Ovis aries: one gene and its partners. The protein of the gene in region 2 interacts with the protein of the main gene of each other region in a pairwise test. Links are inferred from orthologs where the notes say so. Each region holds a gene or a part of one and is shown on either strand. Other genes may lie near its edges.

Evidence for each region.
Region 1: the proteins of LRRC7 (region 2) and HOMEZ interact in a two-hybrid assay, tested with the Homo sapiens proteins (2 studies listed by BioGRID). The two-hybrid records come from large-scale screens. The link is inferred for Ovis aries from reciprocal best matches to the Homo sapiens genes LRRC7 and HOMEZ.
Region 3: the proteins of LRRC7 (region 2) and NQO2 interact in a two-hybrid assay, tested with the Homo sapiens proteins (2 studies listed by BioGRID). The two-hybrid records come from large-scale screens. The link is inferred for Ovis aries from reciprocal best matches to the Homo sapiens genes LRRC7 and NQO2.

What each region holds. Positions count from the first base shown.
Region 1 is NC_056060.1:21,428,404-21,437,856, forward strand, and holds HOMEZ (homeobox and leucine zipper protein Homez), read left to right. Parts: upstream 1-872; 5' UTR 873-984; coding exon 985-1,024; exon of another isoform or gene 1,025-1,195; intron 1,196-1,321; exon of another isoform or gene 1,322-1,629; intron 1,630-6,285; coding exon 6,286-7,865; 3' UTR 7,866-8,974; downstream 8,975-9,453. UniProt on the Homo sapiens protein: May function as a transcriptional regulator.
Region 2 is NC_056054.1:45,326,602-45,337,296, reverse strand, and holds the start of LRRC7 (leucine-rich repeat-containing protein 7), read right to left. Parts: upstream 5,179-10,695; 5' UTR 3,974-5,178; coding exon 3,972-3,973; intron 1-3,971.
Region 3 is NC_056073.1:49,743,642-49,754,268, forward strand, and holds the start of NQO2 (ribosyldihydronicotinamide dehydrogenase [quinone]), read right to left. Parts: upstream 7,000-10,627; 5' UTR 6,841-6,999; intron 6,535-6,840; 5' UTR 6,495-6,534; coding exon 6,486-6,494; intron 6,308-6,485; coding exon 6,261-6,307; intron 6,194-6,260; exon of another isoform or gene 6,144-6,193; intron 6,064-6,143; exon of another isoform or gene 6,007-6,063; intron 6,001-6,006; exon of another isoform or gene 5,854-6,000; intron 5,716-5,853; coding exon 5,585-5,715; intron 5,368-5,584; exon of another isoform or gene 5,290-5,367; intron 3,646-5,289; coding exon 3,481-3,645; intron 1-3,480. UniProt on the Homo sapiens protein: The enzyme apparently serves as a quinone reductase in connection with conjugation reactions of hydroquinones involved in detoxification pathways as well as in biosynthetic processes such as the vitamin K-dependent gamma-carboxylation of glutamate residues in prothrombin synthesis.

The DNA of each region.
Region 1 (9,453 bases), on a different chromosome or scaffold from region 2:
ATTTTTCTGGGTGGTCAAGACACTTGACGAAGGCAATGGCACCCCACTCCAGTACTCTTTTGCTTGGAAAACCCCATGGACAGAGGAGCCTGGCGGGCTGCAATCCATGGGGTCGCCGAGAGTCAGACACGACTGAGCAACTTCACTTTCACTTTTCACTCTCATGCCTTGGAGAAGGAAATGGCAACCCACTCCAGTGTTCTTGCCTTAAGAATCCCAGGGATGGGGAAGCCTGGTGGGCTGCCGTCTATGGGGTCGCACAGAGTCGGACATGACTGAAGCGACTTAGCAGCAAGACACTTGATCCATCTCTAGAACAAGTTAACGGTTGCTGTAGGCGCTTCGTTTACAGTTGACGCTGCTGACGACGGTTTGACCCCAGGCTGGGAACGCTTGTCTCCTGTACGAAGCTGGCAAAGGGATACTGAAAACGTCTTCCTTCCGGAGGAAACAAATAGGGAGTAGTTGTAGGCGGTTTGGACAGTTCAGCAAACTGCTTTGAATTTCTTGGGGAATTCCAGGCGGAACATTGCCCAGCGTAACACCGAAGATCCGGCGCCCATACGGCGAGGGTGGGAGGGGGTACTGTTCACGACATCCTAGCCTGGGGGGGACATCTTCCCTGTCCCATGCAGCCAATAGGCATCCCGGCTGAGGCCCACGCACCCAATAGCCGACTTCAACCGAGACCCACTCAGCCAATGGCCGGCCCAGCCCTTTCCGCGAGGGCCCGCCTGCCTGCGCCCACCAATCAAAACTCGGGCCACCTTGGCACCACCCCTGGAGCCCACCCCACCCATCCGCCCCGCCTCCAACTCGCTGGAGCAGGGCTGGGCTAGACGGGCGCGCTCTCGGGGGCGGGGAGGGGGGGCAGTCCCGGTCCTGGCCTTCCGCGCGGGTGGGCTCGGAGCAGGCCGCGCCGGGCAGCAACCCCACTCTCACCCCGGAGGCCCCCTGCCCTTTCTCCCCCTTTCCCCCCGGCCCATGGTGCGAGGCTGGGAGCCGCCGCCCGGGCTGGACTGCGGTGAGTGATCCCCAGCCCTTTCGACTTCCCCTTGCAGTCCCTGTACGATCTCCGACCTCCGGAGCCCCATCTCCGCGCTGGAGGGAAGAGGAGAATTCTAGGTTCGAAGTGGTCCGGTTCTCTCTCCTTTCTCCTCAGGACTTTTCGGTTCCCTGTTTTAACTGGAGGAGGGTGAGTGGGTGTATAGGAGGAGGGGAAGGCCGGGTTGGGACGCCCTTGGCGAGGGGAGGGTTGAGATTTGCCTGCTCCCTGGGGCTCATTGCCCCAAGTGCAGCAACTTTTTGTTCTCTGACCCAGTTTGGAGCCTTCTAGACTGCCTGCGAAATGGAGGATAGGAGAAACGTTTCCTTCCCAGGCCTCCCCTCCTCCCCTCCATGACTGCCTCCTGGCGACTTCAACACACGTACAGAAACCTGGCCTTATTCCTGGGGAGCATGGCCTTTGGGAATGAAAGGTTTGAGAGAAACTGCCCCTTCTGACCCCTACCCAGCCATACTCAGAAAACCAACCAGAAAAGTGAAAACCTGAGTCCTCAAAGGTTCCTGGTGTTGCCTCCTAATCAGAGACTTCTAAACTGAAAGAAGACTCAAGCTGAGACCTATTTGGTAATGTGGACCCAGATGATATATTTTATATGAACCCTCTTCTCACCATACATTTGAAGGGCTTTTTATGCTGAGGATAGGTAGGTGGCAGTAACTGAAAGTAAGCCAGTGAAAGTAGGGAATTTTTAAAATGATGCATACATATCCTAAGCATTGTCATTAAAAGTACTTTCATCTCACCAATTTCTTGGGTAAGTGTCCCAGCGTTTTCTTTGTGTTGCTGATTGGCAGTCCCAATTGTCTTTCTAATATCAACTACATAAGCAAATCTCTAATCTGGCTGCACCCTGAGAACTTTAAAATAAACTACTTTCATCTGCCCCAATCCAGGCTAAGTAAATCAGAACGAGGTGGATAGCGTGGGTTAAGTTTCCCCGGGGAATTTTTCTAATATGCAGTCAGACTGGAACCACTGCATCATCATCTGTGATTTCCAGGTTTGGTTTCTTTAAAGTGGAGACTGAATTTAAACACTTTTGAAGCAATATGAATGCAGAATACTTTTGAGATTTTTAAGTCTCCTGCCCCTCCAGTCTTTTACAGTTTTCTTGCCTTCTCCCAACTCAACAATTTTTTTTTAATGTGCATTTCTTTGTATTATGTCTTTCCAAAGCATTTGACTTTTTTTTTTCAGAACCAATTCTTAATGCACTGATTTTCATAGGTTTATAGGATGTTTAATTATATAGAGAAAAACAAGGGGCATAAGCAGATTTGGAATCACACATAACTGGCCTCAGCACATAGGGCAGCTGAAGGAAGTAGATGACTTTGCCATGCTAGAGACTAGGCTACCAGCCTCTAGTGTCCAGTGCACTGTGGGTATTGATTATGTAATCCAGTGGGGATCAGTTAAACCAAGCTCCTAAACCAACTGAACATCTTTCGCTTCTGTCCAGCTAATAGCACTAGTACCTAGTCCCTTCTAAACTAATTTACATTCTCTTTCAGCCTTCCAACCACTTGTTCCATTCATTCATAAACTGTTTTCTTAAAGCAATTACGACCATGCCTTTACTAAGTTGGGAGGACATAGGACAGAGTTTCTAACGGGCTTCTGGACAATCAGTAAATCCCCTGAGATAATAATTTATAATCTGTAAGTTTCAATGTTTGGGGCGGGATGCGAGGTAAGTCGTAACTTTCTGAGAACCTTTAACTTCTATTGTCAAAGAGAGTCATGATCCAAAAAGTGAGAAGCACATGAACTGAGTATCACTAAATGTCCTTTAAGGCCCTGAAAACTCACGAAAACACATCTCACTCAGGAACATTCTTCAGTTCTCTGAATAAAGACTTAGATAACTTAGCAGGCTCATATCTGGTCTTCACTTGAACTGTCACCTGTTTTAACCATAAGCCTAGGCTCAAGATTTTTGTTTTGGGCCACACCATGCCACATGTGGGATCTTAAGTCTCCTGACCAGGGGATCACACTCATGCGTCTTGCAGTGAAAGTGTGGAGTCCCACCCAGTGGACCACCAGGAAATTCCCAACCTAGGCTCAGGTTCTGAAGATCTCTTTTTCCTAACCTTGTGTGAACACCTACACTAGAAGTTTAAGGCAGCCCATTAATACTTTTCTGCCTTTTGTCCAGGGATATGGAAAGCCCAAAGGGAAATAAGGCTTTGACTTATTTCAGTACAGGCCTTGACTCTGTACTTTTTATTGGTGACTTAAGTAGCAGTAGGACATATCTGGCATGGTAACAGATTTAGTAAATTCAGAATTGATAGTACCACCATCACTGACACCTCTGCCCAGAGGAGTCCTTATTTCTCCAGCTTTGATTTCTTTCTTTTTCTACTTTCTCCAAATGAGGTACAAGGACACAAGATGCTATAGTGCCTTCACTGTGCTTTTGATTACTGTAGGATCTACCCTCTTTGTTATAGTTCTCATGAACTGGTTCTAGTTTCCTCCTATAGCAAAGCCAGATTCTTCCAGGGAGGTACCAGCTCTACTGCTGTGTCCTAATTTTAAAGCACCATTCTGTATCAAAGTCTTTCACAACTTGTGTTTTGTGTTACTGAAGAAATGTGGATGTATGCAGTACACCAAATATGACCTTTGCAGTACTGTTACACTGAACTATCAAGCCATGAGAATCTTAAGGATAGCAGACCACACGAATGAAAGCAACCTGTTTCCTTGTCAGCTGGTACCTGCACCTGCCTTATTCCCTGTCTAGCAGTCTTCACCTCACACTGGACTGCTTTATTCCTTGTGCTACCTTTTCCTCACGTCTAAACTGTCGCCACGACCTTAAAAAAATAGGGCACGAATAAGGTTGAGTGGGTGTCGAGCGTTGGATCATCAAGTATTCTCCAGCTTAGATGTAGTGGTGTTCCTGGTGGGCCACAACTTCCAAATGGTGGTTTTAAGTACCTACCCATGCAGGCACTTCCTCACAGCCACTCAGCTGTGTCTTGAGATGAACCTGTTGGGTAGCAGCAATCAAAATTCACCCGGCAGCAATCAAAAAGGATTTATATCTAAATTATAGATTCTCTAAAGCAGTCATTTTGATACTTTTTTAAAAAGCAGCAAAATCTTTTCTGGAATTATATCCAACTCCCCAAATATAAAAAGTACAAAATCAGATACCCTGGTTTCCCCCATTAGAATTAGGACTCTGCAATAACAGATTGGATACAGTAATTTAAAATATTCCATCTTTGCCTCACTTCCCCTGTTGCCTAGGAGGAGCATTACTTTTCAGAATCATCCCATGATGCTGAAGCAATGATAAAAACTCTAATTTATTGAGCCTTTAGTATAGGCATAATGTCAGTTGCATTTTTTTAGTCATAACCTTGCAGGTAGATGCTGTTATCACCTTTTATTCTGATGGGAAACTAAGGCTTCAGCAAGCACTCTCGGGAGTGGTGAAGCTGTGATTCATCTCAGATTTGTCTCACCCTAGACCTCTACCTCTAACAGCTCTAGGCCCCGCCTATACAACACCTAGCACACAGTAGGTGCTCTGTAAAAACATATGTAACTTTACATACGCTCAACATTATCTTCAGTTTTTACACATGAGGAAACTGAGGCGCCTGTAAGTTCAGACAGAACTGGGATTCAAACTTCCTATGTAATGCTGGCCTTAATCACATTCATATCCACTATGCCATGCTGCCTCCACTTACCCTCTGAAGGTTCTCAAACTGTATTGCATTCAAGGTCTGCATGGCCTTCAGTTTGTTAAGATTTTCTTGTTAAAAGGGAATGGTGACATGCATTAGAATGCTGCCAAATTTTTCTGTTCATCATATAAAATTTCCGATATTACACTGCTCTATCTGTAACTTTTACATAGGCATGCTGTCCTCTCCGTAATGTGTTACAGGGACTATTTGTAAACTCAGATGGGAGTCCTTGAAAAGTAAAGGGTGACAGATAATGTTAGTCTCTAATGCCCACACAGGGAACATTTAACAGGGAATTGAGTTAAAACTCCATCACCAGGAAGTCCCTGGTGGCCCAGTGGTTAGTACTCAGCACTTCCAATGCAGGGGCATGGGCTCAATCCCTGGTTGAGGAACTAAGATCCCCACAAGCCACGTGGCAAAAAAAAAAAAAAGTCAAACTGGGGCCCAGAATTATTCTGGGAAATAGCTTGGGCAGGTTTCCAGGAATAAAGCACAGTCAGAGGCTTTCTCTGCAGTCCCCACACCCATGTTGAGCCTGGGAGCCCTGGTGCCACTGGGTAGCTTGCAGGACCTGGTTACAGTTTATAATGAGCCTGCCCACCTGGTTCCAAGAAGAAAGCTGGACTGAAGAGATAAGAGCTGCAGGCCTCCCGCCCTGTGTGGAGGCGGCTGTTAAGGTCTGAGGGAGCTCTCTAGGCTTCCTGGAGAGAGACAGCAGTTGGAAGAGACAAAGGCTGGGAAAAAGGGGAATAACCTTTGTTCTGCGGAAGTCTTGGGGAAGGAAACATTCACCTCCCTCTACCCTCTCCGGATCAAAACCAAGGGGAACTCCATTCATCCCAGATCATTGACCCATCTCATCCTAATGAGACTTAGAAAAAAATTAAACTCAGTCACCTTCCCGCAACACTCCACCACCAAGAAAAGAAGAAAAGAAAAGGGAGCTGGGTAGAGGGACAGTGCTGTTCTACCTTCTGTACCTTCTAGATTCTCACACTTTGTATTCCTAATCTTCCACATTTTAGAGATAATCTAGAGATAACTCAAGAAATAGTCTGTTAGGAGCTAAAGTGTTCTGAGATTACATACATCTCTTTGGGTTTTCTAGGTGAATCTTCATTCTGTCACTCTTGTTGCATGAACTTAGAGGGTGAAGTGAATTTGAAGGGGAAAGATAAAGGCTCTAAGGATGTTTTCCTTTTTTTTAACCTCAGAAGTCAGATAATCATCTTGGTGACAACACTCACTATTTTTGTGACTTGGAATAATTTAACTTCTCTGGACTTTGGTTTTTTCATACCTATAGGGGGAATTATAGCAGGCTCTGATGATTTATAAGGTTATGAAAATTAAATGAGAAATTGTTAAACACTTTAAAAGCAATCCAGTACAGTACACATAGAAAATTGTTTTTGGAGCCCAACGTTTTGTTTGGTAGAAATTGAGCAATGGCCTGAAAGGGGAACCCCAGTGATCGAGCTGTTTCTCTTCTTATTACAGCTATCTCTGAAGGGCACAAATCAGAAAGCACCATGCCTCCTAATAAAGAGGCCAGCAGCCTTAATAGCTCCCCTGCGGGCCTCATCTGCCTCCCTCCAATCTCTGAGGAACTACAGCTTGTGTGGACCCAAGCAGCCCAGACCAGTGAGCTGGACAGCAATGAACACTTGCTCCAAACCTTCAGCTACTTCCCCTACCCCAGTTTAGCAGACATTGCCCTTCTTTGCCTGCGCTATGGGCTGCAGATGGAGAAAGTCAAGACTTGGTTCATGGCCCAGCGCCTTCGCTGTGGCATTAGCTGGTCATCTGAAGAAATTGAAGAGACTCGAGCCCGAGTAGTCTACCATCGGGACCAACTCCATTTCAAATCCCTTCTCTCTTTTACTCATCATGCAGGGCGGCCCCCAGAGGAAGTGCCTCCTTCTCCTGTGCCACCTCCGGAACAAGTTGGTCTTGGAATAGTGCCCCTGACTCTTAGCGAGCCCACCCAGATGAAAGGATTGAAGGTAGAGCCTGAGGAGCCACTGAATCACCAGAAAGCAAAGGAGACCCTGATGGTACCTGGCAGTGGAGCATTCCCCCATCAATCGCAATTTTGGCAGGATCATCAATGCAGTGGCCTCTCCAAGGAGCAGGCAGGCAGGTGTCCCGACCAGTCACACAGCCTAGGTACTGCCTCCTGGAACCATGCCACAGCTGTCCACCAGCCCCATGCTCGGGATAAGCCCGAATCCATCTCATTACTTGCCAGTAGTTGTAAGAAGGAGTCAGCATCTAATGTGACTCCTCCTTCCTCTACCTCTTCTTCCTCTTTCCAGGGACTGGCTAATGGAGCTCCTGCCACCTCTAAGTCCCTCCAGCCACTGGGCTGTGCCCCACAACCACTGTCACCCAATGAACAGGCACTACCCCCACAGCTGGAGCCAGCTTGGCCCCAGGGGCTAAGGCATAACTCAGCATCAGGTAGGGTTGGCCCTGCAGAGTATCTTTCCCCAGACATGCAACGCCAGCGAAAGACCAAGCGCAAAACCAAAGAGCAGTTGGCTATCCTCAAATCGTTTTTTCTACAGTGCCAATGGGCACGGCGTGAGGATTACCATAAATTAGAGCAGATCACTGGTTTACCTCGGCCTGAGATTATTCAGTGGTTTGGTGACACACGCTATGCCTTGAAGCATGGGCAACTAAAATGGTTTCGGGACAATGCAGTACCTGGTGCCCCTAGCTTCCAGGATCCAGCAATTCCTACACCACCACCTTCAACCCGCTCCTTGAATGAATGGGCTGAGACACCACCTCTGCCAAATCCCCCGCCCCCACCGGATATACGACCCTTGGAGAGGTACTGGGCAACCCACCAACAGCTCCGGGAAAGTGATATCCCTCAACTGAGTCAGGCATCAAGGCTTAGCACCCAGCAGGTACTGGATTGGTTTGACTCTCGATTACCTGAGCCAGCTGAAGTGGTGGTCTGTCTAGATGAAGAGGAGGAAGAGGAAGAGGAGGAACTGCCAGAAGATGAAGAGGAGGAGGAGGAGGACGATGACGACGATGATGATGATGTGATCATCCAGGACTGAGTGGGAGGCTGGGGGAGGGGAGGTCTGTTACTAAAAGACAAACCAACTTAGTTAACTGTTTAAACAAAGAAACCACATTATTTTCTTTTTAACTTACCTTGTGGCAAAGAACTGAAAAACTTTGTGTTCTTGAGGGTGGGGGACAGGGATATAGTAAGGGTAGACCAGGGAGGATGACCATGGAGTACAAAACGAGGTGGGGATCAGACGGGCAGAAATCTAGGCCTCCAATCTCACTGAGGGGCTTGCTATGGGTCTGGGAAAAGGCTCTTGCTCTTTTCATATCCCTGTTCTTTCACCTTACTATTCTACAGAGAGGCTAGGCTTTGGCCCACGGCCATGGAGTTCTGTAAAGGAGGAGGAAAGTTTCTAATACGACCCCAGTCCCAGCATTTTCCCCAAATATAAGGCTGCCTTGCACCTCATTTCTCTCTGAACACAAGTTCATGCATTAATGCAGCTAAGAATCTCAGTTATGTCCCAGTCAATCGCAAATACTTCCTCTCCTCATACCAGCTTGATTTTCTGTGTTTTCCTGCTGCTTTTTGAATCTCACAGGGAGCAGAATGTTTTCATTTCTGATACTGGGACCACTATGCCTTGTACCTTTCCAAAAATCCCCATTCTGTTCACTGTTTGTCTCAGGGTAAATCTTCCCCCCGGAGCTTGTGAAAAAGTTTAATAATTGGGTGGAGAATAATTTAGACTGGATATTTATTGGAGGGAATTAGGGGAGATGTCCTTTTAAAAAAGTAGAATTATAGATTACCGAGGAGTAAAGGAGAGGGAATGGTGTCTGCTGTTCGGGAGGACAGTCCAGATAGATTCCAGGTTTGGTTTTACAAACCTGACACTCCCACCTGCCTAGTTTGACAGAAACTGATTTTTTAATCTTTTTGGTGTTGGTCTGTGTCCACAAAAGAGACTTTACCCCCTGTTTATAATATCTGTCTTGAGGACAGAAGTCCTTATGTTTTAGAGTGGTTTTCATCAGTTGGGGTCAGATATAAAGATATCAGTGGGTTAACCATCTAGAAATAAAAGAGTGGAAGCCCCAAATTGCTAGACTAATAATAAAAAGGCCAAAAATAAAATTGTTTCTCTCTCCACTTTGCCATTTCTCTGGTTTAAAGATTAATGGAACCAAATTCATCTACTTTCTGATTTAGTATACTTTTTATTTTCAAAGCAGCAGGATATACTGAGGTAAAGTAAATGAACAAAACTTGAAATAGATCAGTACCTATTAATAGGCAGATTGCTTTCCACACCTGCTATAGCGTAGGTTCTCTCTCAGAAGAGGGGGAGTCTAGAAATGCCTTTAAAAATAAGCTCAGTTTCAGAAAACGTAATAGGATCCTATTCAGCTACCACGTCATTCCTAAGACCTAATTTATCTCTAGCGGATGCTCTCTTCAGTTTTCCAGTATTTTCACTTAAGGTATACCTGCCTATGGTCCACCCATTTAATTCCTCATTTCTACCCCTTACTACCCAAAGAAGAATAAATGTTTGATCTCAGTGGTAATGTTCTTTGCTTATCCCACCATTTGAGAGTTTACGACATCAACAGAGTTACAGTAGCAAT
Region 2 (10,695 bases):
ATTACCAAATCACATGTTAATTTTGGAAGTATAATACATTTGGTTTTCTTAATTTTCTTTCACTATCTCAGGATAATTCATTAGAGTATTTTCTATAAAAACATGAATATTTCTAATGATTAAAGCCTGATTCACAAAACATGGTTAAAAACTTTGTAAAGGGAAAATATTACTGATTTATGGCCATCATTTTCCAAATATTGCTGACTTATGGTACCACTTTTAAATCTGAGTTTTCATTGACAATTCACAAATCAATATTTTAAACATATGTACAAAACCTATCATCTAGGAATCTCTTTTCTGATTTTGTAGTCCCTCAGAGTATAATTTAATAGCAACACTATATGGTCAAACTGCTGCTTGATACTAAAATTCCCTAATCCTGAGGCATTAAAAACCCTCTATTGAATACTGATGTAGTAAAGAGCTTCAAAGAGAAAAACGTCAAGGTTCTAGGAAGATCCCAGAATCATCTTCAGTATGTTCTTCCTTGGAGATATGAATCACTTACTGGTCAGCTGGCTTGGCACAAACTGAAGGTCTGTTTTTTGTCATAGATATGAATTAATGTTTCCCCCAAAGTCATCTTGCAAATTCACGTGACTGACTAGACCCAGTCAAAAAGAAATGTGGATGATACTCTACAAAGCAGCCATTGTTACTGGAGAGACCCAAACAAGTAATGTCTTTTTGTCTTTTATTAATTATTATACTCAACAAATGGCACATGTTCTCTAAATGAGAAATTTTCCAAAAAATATGAAATAATTTATGTAAAGGAAAAAAAGGGAACAAGGATCCAGAAATAACTCAGATGGTAATTTAGTAGTAGTTGATTACTCTTTGTCTACTCTGTTAATTTGGGTATAAAATGAAATGATAATATCATCGAATGAGGGATCCACTCATATTGAAGCAAAAGTCATCAAAAGATAAAATTATAGTAAAAATAGGTGTAATTTTGATACGTCAACATATCTTCAAATTTTCAAGTGTTTTAAAAAGGTGACTATTTTAAGTCATTTAAAAAAAAACTAGGTTTTTATATCAAGTATTACCATGGACTACAAACTGCAAATGAGAGAGATCTAAGAAATGCTCTGAGAATTAACACTATGTGGATAATACTGTCATTTAATGACTTTATAATCGCTAAAAATTCAGTGATACTAATTTCCATCTTTGCAATTTTTAAAAAATAAAAAACACACCAAAATACAGACACGCAAAACACTTCAAGCTACGTTTTGAATTTTATAAAGGAAGCAGAATTTAAAGCTTATAAACAAAAGTGAAATGGGATTTTAGTTAAGAAAATTTTAATGCCAGCCTAAAGCAGCCCTAAAATTCAGAATAAAACATGGCTCCTGTAACAGAAACAGGTTTATTTCTTTAGGAAGTGGTTTCTAATTCTGAAGCTGCAAATGTGCAGGCACACGTGATGGGGAATGTAAGGGTTGCCATGGAAGTACACATCTTTTCTTGGACAGTCAAGTCTTTTTAAAAATGCATAAAGAACTTTCACTTCATAATATGCCATGGAAATTGACTCTGCTTTCCTTACCAACATATTAGTATGATGCAATGCAACATAGTACAGAAATAACCCACATTTTAAAAAACTTCGACCCAGTAAGATCGCTTATAAAACATGGAGTGAAAAATGAAATAAGAAATCTCCAAGTCGGAGAACTAATTGTGGGTCTAGAACAAATTCTAATTCCATTAAATTAATAACTAATCACACCTCAGGACATTCCACAGGCCTGATGATACACTTCCTGGGCGTCCAAATGCAAACATCACTAAACATCACTCTCGACATACTTTGGTCTTATGCCTTATTTTTAAGGAAAAATAAAATCATTCCTACATTCCTACTTTCTCAACGGTTTCCAAGAAGCAAGGAACAGACTCTGCTCTACCGTCTTTTGCCCAAAATCCCCTGGAGGTTCTCTTAAGAGTCTGTGAAGTCAGCTCAAGACGCCTGGATGGAGGCGTGACACTTGGACTGGGGAGGTGGCAGAATCTGTTGAGAAACGCAGCAGGTTCTGAGGCGCTAGAGAACCCACGTGTACAGGGCCTGGGGAACTTTTCCGCTACGTCTCCCGGAAGGAAGGTCTCACTTTTAAATAGGGGGCTAGCGGCGGCGAGGAGCTGGGTGGGTGGAAGGTGGGCAGGAAAATAGGAGAGGTGGTGGCGAAGCAGAAGGTTCAATCCCTTCGCAGGTATCTACTTGTGCTTCCCCACATTCTAGGCTCTCCCTCATCAACTTTATTATTTTTCCGTTTTACAGGAGGGTTTAAGCAATAGGGATGCTGAGCATCTCATAGGCTCAGTCAGGAACAAAGAAAACCGAGTTCCTAATACTGTATCTCTCCCGCTGGAGATCACGTGTCCTGCTTTCGCTGGAATGCACTCTTCTCGCCCACGCTATAAAATCTCTATGGTGCTTAGAAATTTTACCCACGTTAAAATATGCTCACTTATGAATTGCTTTTTATCTACCAAGAGAACCACATTTCAACGTACACAGGTACACATTTACGTGGTGACCCAGTTACCACTGCAGGTGAATTCTGTGTTGAAAGTGTATTGGGAAAGTAATGGAAAAGAGCAGGTGGAAGATCGTGTCTCACTGAGCGCACCCTGCCCTCCCCCGTTTTCTAATTTCTTTTGAAGAAGTTCGAAAGGAACGTGGGAGTCGTGGGAGTCGCAGATGGTTCCTTTTTGAAGCCGATTCCTGGGAGTTGTGAAAGTGACCCCTTCCCTTCTCTGCCTGGCGCTGCGCCCTCTCGCCCAGCCCTCTCGCTTTGTGACTTGATGGGGAGGAGACAGTAAGGGAGAGGGCGGAGGCGGGTCCTTTATGCAGACCTGATGGCCAAGAAGTAGTATAATAAGGCAATTTTGCAGCTATCTCCATTATCATGAAGTCATACTATTTAAAAAGACATTCTGTAAAAGTCCCATCCCCTATTCCCATTCTTGACTCTGCAAACTGTAAAGACAGGAGAACCTTTGGCACCCAATTTAATTGTCCGTGAGCTAAGGTGCTATTATTACCCTGATGCTAATGTGCTTTCCTCCCTCTTTCCACGTAGGACCCAAAACTAGTCCTGCATCCTTAATGACTGAAAGAAGGATGCAAGATGCTGAAGGGGGCCCAGCGCTGGGATTGGGAATAGCGCTGCTTCACCAGCTTCTCCGAGCAACACAAAGGAGATGTGTGGGCTGGAGTTGTTGAGCTTAGGGGAAGGAGACATCGCTTTCCCTGACTCCCGGGAAGAAGGGCTTCGCTCCATCGCTCCCCTACTTCTTTTGGTCCTCCAGTCTTTTATACTCTTTCTTCCCCTTCATCCCCTCCCCAAAACCCCACCCTATCCCTTCAGTTCCCAATGGCATAAAGGTCTTCTAATTATATTTTTCAAACAAATAGGCATCACACAGTAATACTATAGCTTTTAAGATAAAGGGACAAACGTGACCTGCCACAAGTGTGTGTGTGAGAGAAAGAGAGAGACAGAGAACCAATATCAAAGGAGCGCTTCATCCTTCAGACACCTCCGGAAAAAGCTGACTGGAGATATTCAGATAATAAAGAACTGTGATCAACCTCAACCTCAATCGTCGGTCTCAGCACCAGCACCCAAAATCGCTCTTTGCCTTCCTTTTCGCAATATGTAACCCTTTAAGCTCACCCGCCAGCCCAGGCCACTCGGCACTCCCCAGCACCCGCAACAGCAAGCACGCGATTCTAAATGCCCCGCAATCTACCACATCCTCACCACCTCCGCGGGCCAGCGGGCGAGCAGCTCCCAGGGAGCGCTGAAGGCTCGGGTTCTCCTAACCCCCACCCCCGTTCCGTCGGCCACCTGGGTCCCTCACCTAGGGCGCTCACTGTCGCTGAGGCCACAAGCGGCGAGGCCCCCGCGACCCCCTTGGCCCCGGAGCAATATTATCCTACTCACATCGCCGGCGGGAGAAACTGCCCATGAGGTTCCGGAGAAAGTGAATCGTGCAGCTGCCGAGGGTTATTCCTTAAAGTGTCCGGGGTCCGCAGTAGAGTGGGCACGAGGGACCTCGGAGGAGAGGAGGGGTGAAGGAGGAGAAAAGAAGGAGAAAGCGGGGATTCCAGGCAGCTGCCACGTTAGACCATGATGCTGGTGCCCTTCAGGTGGACAGCTGAAGAGGTTTCCGCGGGAAGCGGCCGAGGGGAAGCCCGAAGCGCTGGCGGGGGAGGCAGGAGCGCATCCACTCCCCAGCTTCCGCCTGCCTTGCGCGCCGCGCTAGCGACCGCAGCAGCAGAGGCGGCCGCGGCGGTGGCGGAGGCGCAGCTCCCTCCCCACCCCAGAAGGCTCCACAGACAATAAATCCTGGGAGGAGAAGAGACGAGCCAAAGAGGCGAATCTTGCACCCAACTCCGTAAAACCCCGTACCCGCTGCCGCGCCTCTCCTGGGCGAGGATCCCCGGGGACCCAGGAAGCAGCGGGCGGTTCGGAGGGGCCGTGCGCTCCCGCGGCTGCAGGCGACGGTGGAGTGGGCGGGTGCAGGTCCCTCCGGTGAGAACTCGCTGCGCAGGAGCTGACTGTCCGTGGCTTCAAGCCCGGGGTTCTCCCGGAGTGGGGTCCTCCTCGGTGCAGTGGCTTGGTGCACAGGTGCCTGGATTGGCAGTCGAGGAGGCGCTGCTCCTGGCTCTTGGCTGTCTCCCTGATCTCCCCGCCCCCTCTCTTATTTTTCCCACCCCCTTTTCCGACGACACCAGCTGCAGCAGCCTCAAAGTGCTAAAACCTGTCAAGGAGATTTTCCAGCAATAGGGAAGGGGGTGACCACTTTCACAGTCCTCGGCTCCTTTTCGGGATCTTCGCCTGCCCCTCTGACCTCTACTCGGGCTCCCCCAAATTGTGAGAAGCAAATTCCCAGTCCCGTGGAGTACTGAAATGGTTGCCTTCTCCCAGCTCTGGCTGTTTTTTGTAAAGAACGGGACGACTGGTCGAGCTCTCCGGGGTCTTTCAATCGCCCGCTGGGCTTCAAGCAGGTGCTCGAGGCACGGCGCCTCCGGGCAGCGCGCGGCCGCCGGCTCTTCCTGCAGCTCAACCGGCCCGTGGCGCTCCGGCGGCCCCGGCGCGGCGTCCTGCAGCGCGGGCGACTCCGCCGCACCAGCGCCTCCGGGCCTCTGCGCCTTCCCGAGCGCCCCGCATCCGCACCGGCTCGGTGACGCTGCGCCGGTGGCTCCGCAGGCTGCCGCTCCTGCTATCTCAGCAAAGAGGCGCCCGGGAGCGCCTCCTCGGGGTTTCCTCCCCCGCCCGCCTTCCGGCTGCAGGTTGTTGGCTGCCAAGGAGAAAAGTCTCTGCTAGCGGTTCAGTCTCTTCACATCAGTCAAGGCAACGACCTTTGTGCCTGCTCTCGAGTTCCCTTCTCCTTCTGGGGCCCGGGTGGCTGCCCTGGGTGTTCACAAAATTAGAAGGGGTTTTCCAACCACCCTTCACGCTTCCACCCCCTCTCCTCAGGCCAGGAACACGCATTCTCACACTCAGGCACATTCATCTCCTCTCTCACGTAAAGGCACACACAGACATATAAAGTCTCACACGTCTTTAAACTCCCCAAAGGAGCAATATGTTAAGAAACCCCTATTGACGAGGCTGGTGCTATATTTAGACTTCTCTTTTATTCTCTGAACCCAACAGGTCAATTCTCTCTTTAAAATAAGATTTATCATCCTGAAATCATTTTTTTTTTCCTTTTCTTGGAATACAGGGGCTATAAGCTTTTCGTTTCCTCATGATAAGTGAGAATGTCCCTTCATCTCTCTACATCGCTGATACAGTAGACGTCATGGTGTTCAGATGCCACTCCAGTGGATGCAAATTCACAGTTTACTAAAAAGAAAATGCATTTGCTCATATTCTTGAATTTGCAATGCTAAAATCTTCAAGGTCAAAAGCCATCTTTTCCGGCTGCTAAGGGTTGTCTAGGAAGAGACTTGGGAGATTGACACCTGATCAGCAGAGTACCAAGAATGATTATTTTCCACTTTACCTGGGACATGAAAGAGGGGTGACTTTTAAGGATAACTTTCCAGTGTATCATATTATTTGCATGTAAAAGGAAAAAGGAATAAAAGCATATTTTTAAAAGCCAGGTCATTTTAAAAGTGAGTTATAAAACACCACCAAGAAAGGGTTCTGAAAGGGCAAGGAAACAAACAAAAAAAAAAATTAAGGACAAATTTTTATTTTTATTTTTATTTTTACTTTATTTTACTTTGCAATACTGTATTGGTTTTGCCATACATTGACATGAATCCGCCACAGGTGTACATGAGTTCCCAATCCTAAACCCCCTCAAAAAGGCAAATTTTTGAATTGAGTTCTCTAGGGCTCTGCTTTTTCAACCCACAGTTTTATTCTTATAAACATATGCCACATCTCAGTGTTTCAGCTGGACAGTAATATGAAAATTTTTAGGTTACAATTGAAAATCTAAAAATAAATAAATAACCTCACACAACAATTATACAGCTGTATCAATACTGTTATAGGTTTGCAGTTCTTTTGGATGCAGTTTGCACATAACTTTCACATATATCCATTATTCAATCATTTCCTAAAACTGTTTAGTGGACAATATTTTCCCACACTTATTGGAAGGGCACAAGGCTCATCTCAGAAATGTACCCAATTGCCCTGCACCTGAACTCAGAATTTCTTATTTTAACTCCAGGATTTAACTCCCTTTTACCAAAATATTTTACAAAAAAATTCTGTATGTAAAATCGCAGCCAATTATGAGGAAACTTAAGATCATTGCAAATAGGTAACCAAAGAACTTATATACCATGTGTTAAGTGGAACTGTTTTCTTAAATAAAAACAAAATTGTCCCCTTCTAATAACTGCAGATGGTGATTGCAGCCATGAAATTAAAAGACGCTTACTCCTTGAAAGAAAAGTTATGACCAACCTAGACAGCATATTCAAAAGCAGAGACATTACTCTGCCGACTAATGTCCGTCTAGTCAAGGCTATGGTTTTTCCAGTGGTCATGTATGGATGTGAGAGTTGGACTGTGAAGAACGCTGAGCGCTGAAGAATTGATGCCTTTGAACTGTGGTGTTGGAGAAGACTCTTGAGAGTCCCTTGGACTGCAAAGAGATCCAACCAGTCCATTCTGAAGGAGATCAGCCCTGGGATTTCTTTGCAAGGAATGATGCCAAAACTGAAACTCCAGTACTTTGGCCACCTGATGCGAAGAGTTAACTCATTGGAAAAGACTCTGATGCTGGGAGGGATTGGGGGCAGGAAGAGAGGGGGACGACAGAGGATGAGATGGCTGGATGGCATCACGGACTCAATGGCCATGAGTCTGAGTGAACTCCGGATGTTGGTGATGGACAGAGAGGCCTGGTGTGCTGGGATTCATGGGGTCACAAAGAGTCGGACACGACTGAGCAACTGAACTGAACTGAATGAGGAGAAGGGCTTCCCAGGTGGCACTAGTGGTTAAGAACCCACTTGCCAATGCAGGAGACATAAGAGGCTCTTGTTCCATCTCTGGGTCAGAAAGATCCGCTGAAGAAGGAAATAGCAAACCACTCCAGTATTCTTGCCTAGAGAATCCCCATGGACCGAGAAGCCAGGTGGGATACGGTGCATAGGTTATCAAAGAGTAGGACATGACTGAAGCAATTTAACATGCATACAATGAGGAGAAAGATATTTTTGAAACCCCAAACTAAAAATTGATGATACCTCTGTAATATATTTCAAGACATATGTACTCTTTTCCTCTTTGTCATATCATAGAACCTTGATTTCAGACTCTAGAGGTTCAAATGGATAAATCATTTTAAATACGAGCAGGTGTGATGCAACGCCTATGGGTTTTAACAAACACTATTTTAGCATTAAAAAAAAAATAAGAAGGAAGTGTTCTCTGTAGAATGAGCCTTGAATACCATGATTCAACTTTTTCCTAAGATTTATGAATCTTGAACAAATTTTGGCCACCTTCACTATTTAAACAATGAAGCATACTGAGGAGATTTCAATAGTTCCATAGAATTATGGAACTATTGAAATGCAAATGCGGATGCTTGTCCTAAAACTCCAAGTTGCCCTGTCATCAACCCTCTGGAAATGCAGATGACTGTCTGAACACTGGAGAAAGATGAATGCTGAATATCCTTAGGCTGTTGCTCAAGCAGAGATCCAATTCCAAAACATTAACAACTCCAAAATTAGATCAAAGCAGTTTTAATAGATTAGCTATTCAGATTACATCTATCAATGGCTAAATATTAAATCCATAAAATTTCATAAACTGTTAATCAACTCCTTTGACTCACTACTAAAATTTTTGAGATGATAATCTGTGTCTAGGAAACGCAGGACCAATAAAAGACATATGGTGATATTAACTGTCAGGTGTCAACTATCTTTCTAATAACTTTCTTTAGAGGCCTGGTTTTAGAGAAGTTGCTTGGCAATTCCTGATTTAAACAAAAACCACTTATGTATCTTAATATCTTAATGTTTAATATCTTATCTAATATCTAACTTAATTAGATATTGGTTCTTATTGGAATTTTAAAAATGTTAAATTTTTATGTATGGGGATGTAGATCTGAAGAGCTCAGAGTTCCTGGAGCTTGGTATGACAGGATCAACATTAGTGGGGAACCATATGGGTATGGAGGGCTGTTAGTTTTTGAAAAACAGGGAGAAGCACTGAGCAGGAAGTGGGAGTCATTAGATTCTTCTTCAAATTCATTTGTTAGATGGCCTTACTGTGAAACTAATCTCTCAGATTAACAGTCTAATTCTAGTGAAAGAGAAGGGTTATTGTTACATTTAATGCATTTGGATAATTACTTTTTATTTTAAACATTAATTGCATATTTATGATATACAAATTACAGTGAACACTGATGTATGAATCGTGCATCTCTTTTAAGAAGGACAATATGATTGATTAAGACTGAAGCTTCCTCTGCCATTCCTTTACCTCTTCTTCCCTCACCCCACAGAGGCAACCCCATTCCTAAATTTTTGTATTTATTTGTACATTAATAAATTTCATGCCCTTTCACTAAGACTAGTTTTACGTTGCTTTGGTAATTTAACTTTTACAAAAATGATATTATGCAGTTTGAATTCTTTTGCCACTTTCTTTGGATTTTGAAGAAAACAACGTTATGTCTATGAGAATGAATCATCTTGTTATATGTCACTCTGGTTCACTAATATTTATTGCTGTGTGATAGTTGACATAAATTTATCATTTTCACCTTCTGATGACAATTTTTACAAGTAATTTTTATAAGTAATACTGTTTTCAATATGTCTGTTTATGTATATGGATGATGCTTTTCTATTTTGTATACTATCTAGAAGTGGATTTCCTGGGTTGTTCAGTTCAGTTCAGTTCAGTCGCTCAGTCGTGTCTGACTCTTTGTGACCCCATGAATCGCAGCACACCAGGCCTCCCTGTCCATCACCAACTCCCGGAGTTCACTCAGACTCACGTCCATCGAGTCCATGATGCCATCCAGCCATCTCATCCTCTGTTGTCCCCTTCTCCTCCTGCCCCCAATCACTCCCAGCATCAGAGTCTTTTCCAATGAGTCAGCTCTTCGCATGAGGTGGCCAAAGTACTGGAGCTTGACCTTTAGCATCATTCCTTCCAAAGAAATCCCAGGGCTGATCTCCTTCAGAATGGACTGGTTGGATCTCCTTGCAGTTCAAGGGACTCTCAAGAGTCTTCTCCAACACCACAGTTCAAAAGCATCAATTCTTCACTGCTCAGCTTTGTTCAAAGTCCGACTCTCATATCCATACATGACCACAGGAAAAACCATACCCTTGACTAGACGGACCTTAGTCGGCAAAGTAATGTCTCTGCTTTTCAATATGCTATCTAGGTTGCTCATAACTTTTCTTCCAAGGAGTAAGCCTCTTTTAATCTCATGGTTGCAGTCACCATCTGCAGTGATTTTCGAGCCCCCAAAAATAAAGTCTGACACCATTTCTACTGTTTTCCCATCTATTTCCCATGAAGTGACGGGACCAGATCCCATGATCTTCATTTTCTGAATGTTGAGCTTTATGCCAACTTTTTCGCTCTCCTCTTTCACTTTCATCAAGAGGCTTTTTAGCTCCTCTTCACTTTCTCCCATAAGGGTGGTGTCATCTGCATATCTGAGATTATTGATATTTCTCCCGGCAATCTGATTCCAGCTTGTGTTTCTTCCAGTTCAGTGTTTCTCATGATGTACTCTGCATATAAGTTAAATAAGCACGGTGACAATATACAGCATTGACATACTCCTTTTCCTATTTGGAACCAGTCTGTTGTTCCATGTCCAGTTCTAACTGTTGCTTCCTGGCCTGCATACAGAATTCTCAAGAGGCAGGTTAGGTGGTCTGGTATTCCCATCTCTTTCAGAATTTCCCACAGTTTCTTGTGATCCACATAGTCAAAGGCTTTGGCATAGTCAATAAAGCAGATGTAGATATTTTTCTGGAACTCTCTTGCTTTTCCATGATCCAGCAGATGTTGGCAATTTGATCTCTGGTTCCTCTGCCTTTTCTAAAACCAGCTTGAACATCTGGGAGTTCACGGTTCACGTATTGCTGAAGCCTGGCTTGGAGAATTTTGAGCATTACTTTACTAGCATGTGAGATGAGTGCAA
Region 3 (10,627 bases), on a different chromosome or scaffold from region 2:
GGGGGCTCAGGGTGGCCCCCCAGCACACAGACCTGCAGGGTGGCCCGAGTAGAGCCGGCCCCACCCTTGAGCGCCACGGCCGAGAGCATCCCGGGGCCTAGACTCCCCGGGGGCTTGCCTTCACTCAGAAGCTCGGCTGGGACCCTTCTGTGCGCGAGGCTGTGTGCTGAGCAGAGAGCCCGAGGAGGAGAGCCTGTGTCTCAGGCAGGCTGCCGCCCCCAGGTGTGGCGCCCACGGCGGACTCTGCTCCCGAGAGTGGTGAACAGATAGTGTGTGTGTGGGGGGGGCACATGTACTCCAGGTAAAATATAAAAGAACAGAGCAAAGCAAAGGTCTGCAAATATCGGGGAAATGGGAATATTTTTATCTGTGTGGGTGTGGACGCACTTTCTTAGTAAGACAGGAAATCCACAGTCATGCAGACACACCGACTCAGAGACTGAGACAGAAGATGGAGACAGCTGAGTCAACACGGGAACTGGTAAGTTATAACATGCGCCACGACGCAACAGTCGCTAACAAGACTCCTGAAAGCTCCAGAGAACAGAGCGCATCCCCATTCGTCCCTGTATCTACAGGGCTCCCAAGCTCTACAGGAACGCGTGCTTTGTTAACATCTGGAGGAGGACCTACCATGAGCCACACCGAAGAGCTCTGCCTGCTTGACCCTGGGGCCGCAGGCCAAGGAGGGTGTGTGAAGGGGCTCTTAAGAGTTCACCCTCTGCCCACTGTTCACCACACTTGAAATGCTGTTTCCGCAGAGCCCGTGTCTCACCTGATTCCCTGAACGCCAGTGGCCCCATCACACAGTACTCTCTGCCTCCCCAGACCCTGCTCTGTTGCTTTTCAGTGAAAAGAGCTGTTTGGTTTATTAAAAGAGAAAGACAAGGAGAGGCAAGGATACAACCATTACCACCAGTACTAAATGCTAAATCTGGGGTCTTGTTAACACAATTGCAAACAGGAGGGACCTAAAGGTATTTAATTTACTGGGAATTACTGGAAAGGCACAGGTGAAATTATTAGTTGCAGATGGTTTGACTGTGTATCAGGAAAGACCCAGAGAATTGGCTTAAAACTACGAACAGTGAGAAAGCCGTAGTGGCCGCACGCACGCGTGCACACAGACATGCACAGACCAGTCCTCTTCACGCAGAGAACAAAACCCAGTAAGAAAGATTTACGCAAGATCTGCATGAAGGAAACTCGTAAATACACCTGGAGGATCGTAGAAGAACGTGAACACATGAGGAACCACGCCTGTTGCTGGAACAGCAGGGAGTGGCACTGAGAAGTTCCGCTGTAAACAATCCGTTACCTTCAGAATCTTGCCAACTAAAGGCTGGAGCTTGCCATCTGCTCTACAGGGATTAAGTCACAAGCTGCTGTAGCCACTGATCTTCAGCACCCCCGGAAAGGAGTTCAGGGTGGAGATCAGGAATGAGACGCTCTATGCTCCAGGAAAAGGTAGAAAAACATGCCTTCAGATAGGTATTTTCAGAAGATTTTATGAGCCCAATTCTTGCAAGTCCTCATGTCTCTAAAGCACTGAAGTCACTAATGGTGACACCTGCTCCTCACGGCTAGCAGCAGCCTTCCGCCAAAATGTGGGCCTGATGACCACATGCCCCCCTCACCTGAATCCCACCCATCCTGACCTTCCCTCCAGCTCTCTGGAGCAGTTCCAGAGATAGCTGAGAGGCTGTCTCCCAGGCCACAGTCCTCACTTTATCCCGAACAAAACTTAATCACAACTGTCTTTCCTGGTGGTTCAGCCAATAAAGAATCTGCCCACAGTGCGGGAGGCCTGGATTTGATCCTTGGGTTGGGAGCACCCCCTGGAGGAGGGCATGGCAACCCACTCCAGTCTTCTTGCCTGGCGAAGGCCATGGACAGAGGAGCCTGGTGGGCTACAGTCCCTGGGGTCACAGAGAGTTGGACACGACTGAGCGACTCAGCACAGCACAGCTGGCGTGCTGTGCTTTTTATTTTTTCAGTCCACAATCTGGGAAGCTAATTCAAAAAATCTTTATGGGAAAGTCCAAGTAGCTGTAAAAACAATAAGGCAAATGAAGGTGCCCTGACTCTCGGAGATGGTACACGATGCGCCGAAATAGCGAGAGCCATGCGGTCCTGAGTCAGGGCCAGGAAGACAACAGCGGAAGACAAAGTGCAGGAGACTCTGAGACGCGTGGGATTCAGGGCTCGACAAAGGCGGCTTTCTAAGGCAGACAGCTAGATAATGTAATAAGTGGGGATGAGAGCTGAGCGCGCACTTGGGAAAACCTGGATCCACACCTCACATCACACACTGAAATAAACTCTGAGTAGAGAACGTGCTTACTTGTAAAAAGGGGAACCTGCCAAACACTATAGCACCTTCCAAAAATAAGCATAGAGTTTGTGTGGCACAAAACGCAAGGTCTAAATTAGCAACTAAGCAAAAGTAAACAGAAGCCAGCACCGCAAAGCCGAAACTACAAATACACTGGGTAAAAATGCGTTTACAATTCATGCTTCAAACTCTACACCAGAGGCCGTTTCCCACCTGTCAATTGGCAGTTATCAAAAACTCCGTAAAACAAGGAAAGGAGCACTTGCGAACACTGTGGGTTGGAGAGTGAACTGGTACAGCACTCACGGAAAGCAGCTCAATATTGTCGATGAAAATTCAAAACACACGTTCCCTCTGCCCAGCAACTCCATTCTAGATACACTCGCACGCGTGGGAAAGCATGCGGCCGCCACTTTTGCTGCGGTCCTGTTATCACAGCAAAAGTGAGAAGCAGCCGGAACTGCACGAGCGGGCACTACTGAAGCCTCGGTACCTCCAGACAACGGCAGAAAGAGGGAAAGCACCACGCAAGGCGGCATACAGGAGCACGTGCTCCCATTTTTAAAAAGCGGAGAGAAAAGCCGTTATTCTGTTAACTGCTTTAGGTGCCCCCAGAGACGGCACAAACTGGCCCCAGAAAGATGCAGAGGCAGTGGGAGACCCCGGTTCCTGTGGGAGCCGGGAAGCTGGCTGGCTGGGGCTGCGGGAAAAGCCGTGCGCTGCGGACCTTTTCGACATGAGAATTGTACACCACCTCCAATGATGAGTTTTGTTTACAAACTTTTTTTTTAACTAAAAAAAAAAAAAAAATTCCAAGAAGACAAAAAATACTCCTAACAATCTGATTTAAAAATGGGCAGAGGATTTGAACAGGTATCTTTCTGAGGAAAACACAGATGGCCAACAGGCGTGTGAAAAGACGCTCAACAGCACTGATTATCAGGGACACAAAGCAAAATCATGGCGAGACACCACCTCTTGCCGGTCAGAATGGCTGTCAGCAAGACAAGACACCCAGTGCTGCCGAGGACGTGCAGGAAAGCGGACCCTCGTGCGGCCAGTGTACGGTGAAGCCACCGTGCGGAACAGTGTGGAGAGTCCCCAAGAAAGTTTAAAAAAAACAACCCAGAGCATTTATGACTCACCAGTGATATCCTTCCCTGTGGCCCTGGGCTCAAAGTTCATGGCATAGAGGTCAGAAACGGTGACGGTGCAGCCCTGCTGGCTCAGCTCAGCCACCGCCACGTCCTTCAGGGACCCGTTCAAAGACCTGGGCTCTTGGTGTGCGTAGACGATGAGCACTTTCTTACCTAAATCCAGACAAGAAACCATTTCTCTTGAAGAATACTTCCTCTGTCAAAGCTCCACAAGGACCCAGCTGATAGGAGGACACACACAACGGCTGAAGCTAAGTGAGAAAGACCGACGCTTTTTGCGGGAGACGGCGGTAAACCAAGGAGCATTTTCAGAACCTGGCTGTATCAGTTCACCACTGCTCGAGTTTACCAACATAGGAGTCAAGTTACAGTTCCCCAGGAATAACACGACTGCATTCTTTTAAAGCCCAATCTCTTCTGGTTATCCACTACGAGATGTTTCAGCCATGTGGCCTAAGCTCAGAATAAGAAACTACTGTGACTCATCTTTCCTGCTAACCCCTTGTTGGCAGGTCAGTCGCTGACACACAGCTCTGCTTCCTTCCTCTCCACTGAAAACTGACACATAGATATATTAAAAAAAAAAAAAAAAAAAATCAGATCCTGAGTCCCATGGGGAGGCAGGGCCTGCATGAAGCCCGGCTTCGGTGGAAAGCCTAACAACAGAGGCTCCACCCACTGCCTGGCGGTTGTCATTCATACCAACAGTCTCTGAAGCTGCACGGAGAAGGCAATGGCACCCCACTCCAGTACTCTTGCCTGGAAAATCCCATGGACAGAAGAGCATAGGAGGCTGCAGCCCACGGGGTCACAAAGAGTCAGACACGACTGAGCGACTTCCTTTCATGCAGTGGGGAAGGAAATGGCAGCCCACTCCAGTGTTCTTGCCTGGACAATCCCAGGGACGGCGGAGCCTGGGGGCTTCCCGTCTATGGGGTCGCACAGGGTCGGACACGACTGAGGCGACTCAGCAGCAGCAGCAGCTGGAGCCGCACTGTCCTCCTTCAGGACATTCTCCAAGGTCGAGTGCCAGTTCCTTCTAGAAGGCAGCTGTAGGGATGTGTTTAAATTTTCTGTGGGAACCTCTTAAGACTAAAATATTTAAACTCTTGATCCATATTATTCTGTTTAGGCCCTTAAGGAGAAAATATAAATGTTAGTTTGAAGCAAAGAGCTTTGGGGCACTCAGCAGAGTGTAAAGGTTGAAATGCACGAGTGAAATTAATGATTAACAGTTTTAATGTCTCAGACTCATTTGTTATAAAGGAACTTGGGGGTTTAATAGGAAACAGGATACAAATGAAATATCCACAGTGATGGTTCTCAACCAGGGAGTGTTACCTCCCAGGGAGTGTTTCACAACATCTGGAGACATGTCTTGCTTGTGGCATCTGGCGGGAGGCGCTGCTGCGGAACACAGCTCGGGTCAGGACCCCCCGGCAGAGCACTCTCTGGCCCCAGATGTCAGCAGTGCCACAGTTCCCTGGTGGCTCAGATGGTAAAGTGTCTGACTACAATTCAGGAGACCTGGGTTCGATCCCTGGGTCGGGAAGTTCCCTGGAGAAGGAAAAGGCAACCCACTCCAATACTCTTGCCTACAAAATCCCTTGGATGGAGGAGCCTGGTGTCCATGGGATTGCAAAGAGTCGGACATGACTGAACGATTTCACTTTCAACGTACAACATATGTGTAAAATAACGTGAATTTTTATGTTATGAAATGCAAGGGTTTTCATGCTATGGTGCTGAACAAAAAGATGTCACAATGGGATGCATGCGTCATGCGGCATTTCTAACCATGGTCACTCCCGGGGCTCAGTCACTCAATATCTATTGATTGAGCAGCTATTATGTCCCAGGGGGTCATCCCAGAGGCTGGAGGCAAAGCAAAGACAAGATAAGCATTCTATTTTGGTGGGGCTGAAATGAACAATAAAACAAGAAAATACAAAACAAGATAATTCCAGGTAGCAGTCCACATTATAAACAACTTTTACACACGAGTGTTGTCTGGAGTTTTAATAACAAATTATTCAATTTCTAATAAATTTTTCATTTAACAAAGTTTAACTCCCCCATAGCTAACAGTCACCTGCCATGTCCCAGGAAGATGGGTATTCTTCTCTCTGAATCCTGCCGAGAGGAGGGTGTGCTGTTTTGTTAGTCCTGGGTGCAGGGGGCCCTGAGCTCTCAGGCACGGTCACTCTCAGTGATGCCAGTGACCTAGAAGAGGAAACAAATGCTGAGGGAGGTGGAGAGACATGGTGGGCAGCTCGATGTGCAGCCGTGGGCAGGCTGAGGCAGGGGAACAGCAAGCGTGAGGCAGCGTTGGGACTGGCCTGGGGAGCTCAGATAGCCTACACGGGACATGCGGTTACAACAGAGCTGGGTGGTGGGAGATTCCGTCCAAGGGCTGGGCGGGTCAGAAGTGCACGAGTGAAGACTTTATCCTGAGCCTGGCAGAAGCCCCAGGAGCATGTCCGGAGAGTGATGGGCTGCAGACTCAGGGAGCACCTTCTCCTGAGGTCCCCGGGGTCAGGGCCCAAAGACAGTCTAGTTTAGGAAGAAAAGCTTTCATTTCAGTGCTGACAGCAGGGGAGGCATCCCCTTATCTCTCTGCCTGGTCCAGTGTACCTAGTTACATCACCTACCAGGCCGCTGGAGGCCTCGGAGTTCTGACTCCTCGTGGGGTCCAATTCTCCTAGTTGTACAGAATGAGAAACTGAGGCCCAAGAAGCAGGCCACTTGTCCAGCACTTCCCTACTGACCTTGCGCCACAGCAGGGAGAGCCGTCTCCTTCCGTGAAGAGGGCGCCCTTATCAGGCAGACAGGAAAACAGAAGCGTGTCGCTGTTAAACTACATACATCACCCCACACCAAACGGACTCACACCCTTTATGCACTCTATTTCGTTCCAGCCTCCTCGACCGCTCCTCTCCCGGGCTCCCTCCATCCCCCCTGGAACCGTAAAGAGCGGCGCAGGAAGCACACACCACATACATGTCCCACTTCTTGGATTTTCTGGCTGAGATTCTCAGGGAACTAAGGTTGGAGAAGCTGAGTTTCGGGTCCTGGCACCCGGGGCAAAGGCCGAGCCGGAACCCCGAGAGCCCAGGCCAGGCCTCCGAGCCGCCTGCTCGCGGACCCCAGGCGGCCCCTTGCCGTCCGCGCGTGGCGTCAGCGCGGGCCGAGTCCAGGGCCGAGGGCAGCGGCTGGGGGCAGCGACGGGCCTGCGCACACCCGCGCCCCAGGCCTCGCAAGTGCAGGGGGAAGCTCGGGCACGCGGGGGTGGAAGCCCGCGGAGACCCTGGCCCCGGGAAGCGGCCCCCGGAGAGCGCGGACACTCACCTCGGCCAAAACGCCCGAGTACGACCGGCAGGACGAGACTTCCCTCTGGGAGAACGTCCAGCGTCCACGCCACGATCCGGCCGCGCGGACTACGCACTCACAGGCGTCGCGAGCGGACAATGCGGGCGCGCTCCGCAGGCCTGGACGCGGGGCCCTGCCGGCGGGGCCCCGCCCATGCCCCGCCCACGAGCGCCGAGGCCACGCCCCCCGCCTCTGTCCGGAGCGCAGCCCCGCCCCCGACCTGTCCGGACCTCTCCTCGCGCCGCCCCGGCATAAGCCCCGCCCACACGCCCTTCGCCCCGCCCCTACCCTGTCCTCGCCCCTGGGAGCCGGACCCGGCTCCGCTCCGAGGCAGCTGAAGGGATGGCAGTTCTGGGAAGGGGGTGCGCCGTGTCCGCCCCTCCCGCCGCCTCTGCCCCTAGGCCCACTCAGGGTCAGAGCACTCAGCCGTAAAAAGGGTGAACGATCGGGGCCTCAGCAGCCGGGGCAAATTTGCAGAGAAATACGCTGCAGGAAAATCGCCAATCCCTGAGGGTCCCCCCTGAACGATCACGTTTATGTATCATTCTCGAGATGAGATTCTAGAAACGGAGAGCAGGTTGGTGGTTGCCGGGTTTCTGGTGGGCAGGTGTGATTCTAAGGGGCCTTGTGCTGATGGGAATGCGCCGTGTGTGACCGTTCAGGCGGTGGCGCTGTTCTGTGGTCTGGCCTGACGTTCTTATTGGGGAGGCTGGGGGTAAAGGGCGCACAGGCAGGTTCAAGGCCAAGGAGATCCCCGGAAGGCAGAGAGACACCGAACTGGAGCCTGCAGACGTGTGCGGGAGGGCTTCTGGTGGGCACTTTGGGCCAATTGTCTCTTTTCTCTCTCTCTAGCACTTTCTGGCCTGCACCACCTCATTTGTAGACCCCCTGCCATTGGGACTCACTAGAGGACCCTCCCAAACTCTGCCTTGATTTCTGGTGTCCCGGGATGGCCCTTGGGGCTCTCCTGGTGGCTCAGACGGTAAAGAGCCTGCTTGCAATGCAGGAGACCCAGGTCTGATCCCTGCGTCGGGAAGATGCTCTGGAGATGTTCATGGCAACTCACTCCAGTACACTTACCTGGAGAATTCCATGGACAGAGGGTCCATGGGGTTGCAAAGAGTTGGACACCACTGAGTGACTAACTCTTTCACTTTCAGGATGGGCTGAGAGAGCGAAGGCTGGTTCCCCTTCGAGCATAACATTCCTGATGCAAACAGCTGCAGCGTCTGCAGCGTCTGGGCGGTCTGTCCGAGGCTGCCGTCTTTCTTGGGTTCATAGTGAGGACGTGGTCTCTCTATGCGTGACATGCCCTCATGCCAGCAGCAGACAGGCCACCTTATCTTGTGAGCCTGGGAGGTGCTGGGGGCCGTTTTCATTTTAGAATGACCTTTGCCTGAGGGAAAAGCTGTGGAGGCATTTCCAAATGTACCAGAATGTCCTCAAAGACGAGATCTGGCTTAGTTTTCTTCCCTCTTTCTCGTCAGACTGAGATGATGTCCCCAAATCCTCTTTGAGTCACATGAGATGATTGCAACTAAGAAAGGCGGATGCAGGGACTCCGGGGTAACCTTCCAAGGGGGGGGTGACTGACCCTGTTGTCCCTTGGGAGGGGGTTGTTCACATCTTTGGTGTCATGAGGTTGTGGTTGTTTATGCAAAGTCATGTTCAACTCTTGCGACCTCATGGACTGTATAACCTGCCAGCCTTCTCTGGGATTTCCCAGGCAAGAATACTGGATTGGTTTGCCATTTCCTCCTCCAGGGGATCTTCCCAACCCAGAGATGGAACCTGCATCTCCCACTTGACAGGCAGATTCTTTACCACTGAGCCACCAGGGTGCTGTGAGGACCAATAGGGAAAACAGCCGGGCCTCCCGGTGACTGTGGAGCCGCAGGCAACCAGGCTGGGAGCCGTCCAGACCCTGGTGTGGAGTGGAAGTGCTGGGCCGGAAGGGAGATCAAGATGCGACCCCGCCTCTGAAAACTCGCAGGTCGGGGGAGCGTCTGGGTCCAGCCGCGCTTTGATCCTAGTCCGCGAAGAGGCAGCACCATCTGGCGGCCGCGCGCGGGAATCGCAGGTGCGGAGGGGACGTCGCCCTCTGGACAAGGTCAGCTGGCCGGCGCTCCCCTGGGTCTTCAGGATGGTGAAAGCGCCAGCGGTGGATTGGATAGGGGCCCGTCTGGCGAAGAGAAATGTGATTCCCTGCTAATCTGGCGTTTACTGCACACAGGACATTGCTACTGTGAGCCTACGGAGGAGGCGGTGCTATTAAAACGAGATATGCAGATACAGCATCGACAGCAAGCATGACCTCTAAGGGTCGTAAGTGGAGTGTTCACTTCACCCCTTGCAGAGCAGAAAGAGGCTTAGGCTTCCGGCGGGTGTCGGGGGGGAGGGGGGAGGCAGTTAAGCCAGCTGCATACTTCTTTGCCTCAGTTCAGTTCAGTTCAGTTCAGTCCAGTTCAGTTCAGTTCAGTCGCTCAGTCGTGTCCGACTCTTTGCGACCCCATGAATCGCAGCACGCCAGGCCTCCCTGTCCATCACCAACTCCCGGAGTTCACTCAGACTCACGTGCATCGAGTCGGTGATGCCATCCAGCCATCTCATCCTGGGTCGTCCCCTTCTCCTCCTGCCCCCAATCCCTCCCAGCATCAGAGTCTTTTCCAGTGAGTCAACTCTTCTCATGAGGTGGCCAAAGTACTGGAGTTTCAGCTTTAGCATCATTCCTTCCAAAGAAATCCCAGGGTTGATCTCCTTCAAAATGGACTGGTTGGATCTCCTTGCAGTCCAAAGGACTCTCAAGAGTCAGCTGCCCCTTATTTTGTGTTTCAGATGAAAATTAATATTGAGGGTTACCTCAAGACTAATCGAAGTAGCTTGAACGTTTTCCTAGAGAAGTAGTTCCTTTTGGTTTTATTTAACGGCTTTTCTTTCCTCTACGAACATCATCCACCTTCTTTTGGGAAACAAACTTCCTGAGAACTCAGGTTGTGTTTGTAAATATATTTATCCACCTCTCTGCCTGGCCGCACTGGGTCTCGGCTGGGCGTATGGGATCTAATTCTCCCACCAGGGATCAAACCCCGGGCCCCTGCATTGGGAATGTGGAATCCTATCTCCTGATCACCAGGGAAGTCCCTCTAGTTAATCTTTTTTTTTTTTTTTTTTTTTATGGTGGTAAAATCTCTGTAACAAAAGATCTGTCGTTTCAACCATTGTAAGTACACAACGGTATTAATTATATTCAGTGGCATTAATTACATTCAGAATGCCATGCAATGTCACTATTTTTACTTCTGAAAATTTGTCATCATCCCAAACAGAAACTCACTAATCCTTAAGCAGAAACTCCAAACTCCCCACTCCACCCAGGCTCTGTACCGATAATCTTTCTGCTTTCCATGAACTTGCCTGTTCTCGATGTTTCATACAATTGGGATCATGCAACAGGCGGCCTTTTGCTCTGGGTTTCTTCACTGAGCACAATGTTTTCAAGGCTCATCCGTATCATGACATGCATCAGAACTTCACTCCTTTTTGCTGCTGAATAATATTCTACTTCATGCACATACCACAGTTTATCCTTCCATGTGTTGTTTTAACCTTGCATAGGTTGATGGACACTTGGGTCATTTGGCTGTTGTGAATAATGCTGAAATAATTATTGGGGCACAAGTGTCTGAGCCCCTTTTAAAAAAATCTGGGTGTATACCAAGGAGTGAAATCGCAGCATCGTGTAGTAACTGTTTTGCTTTTTAAGGAA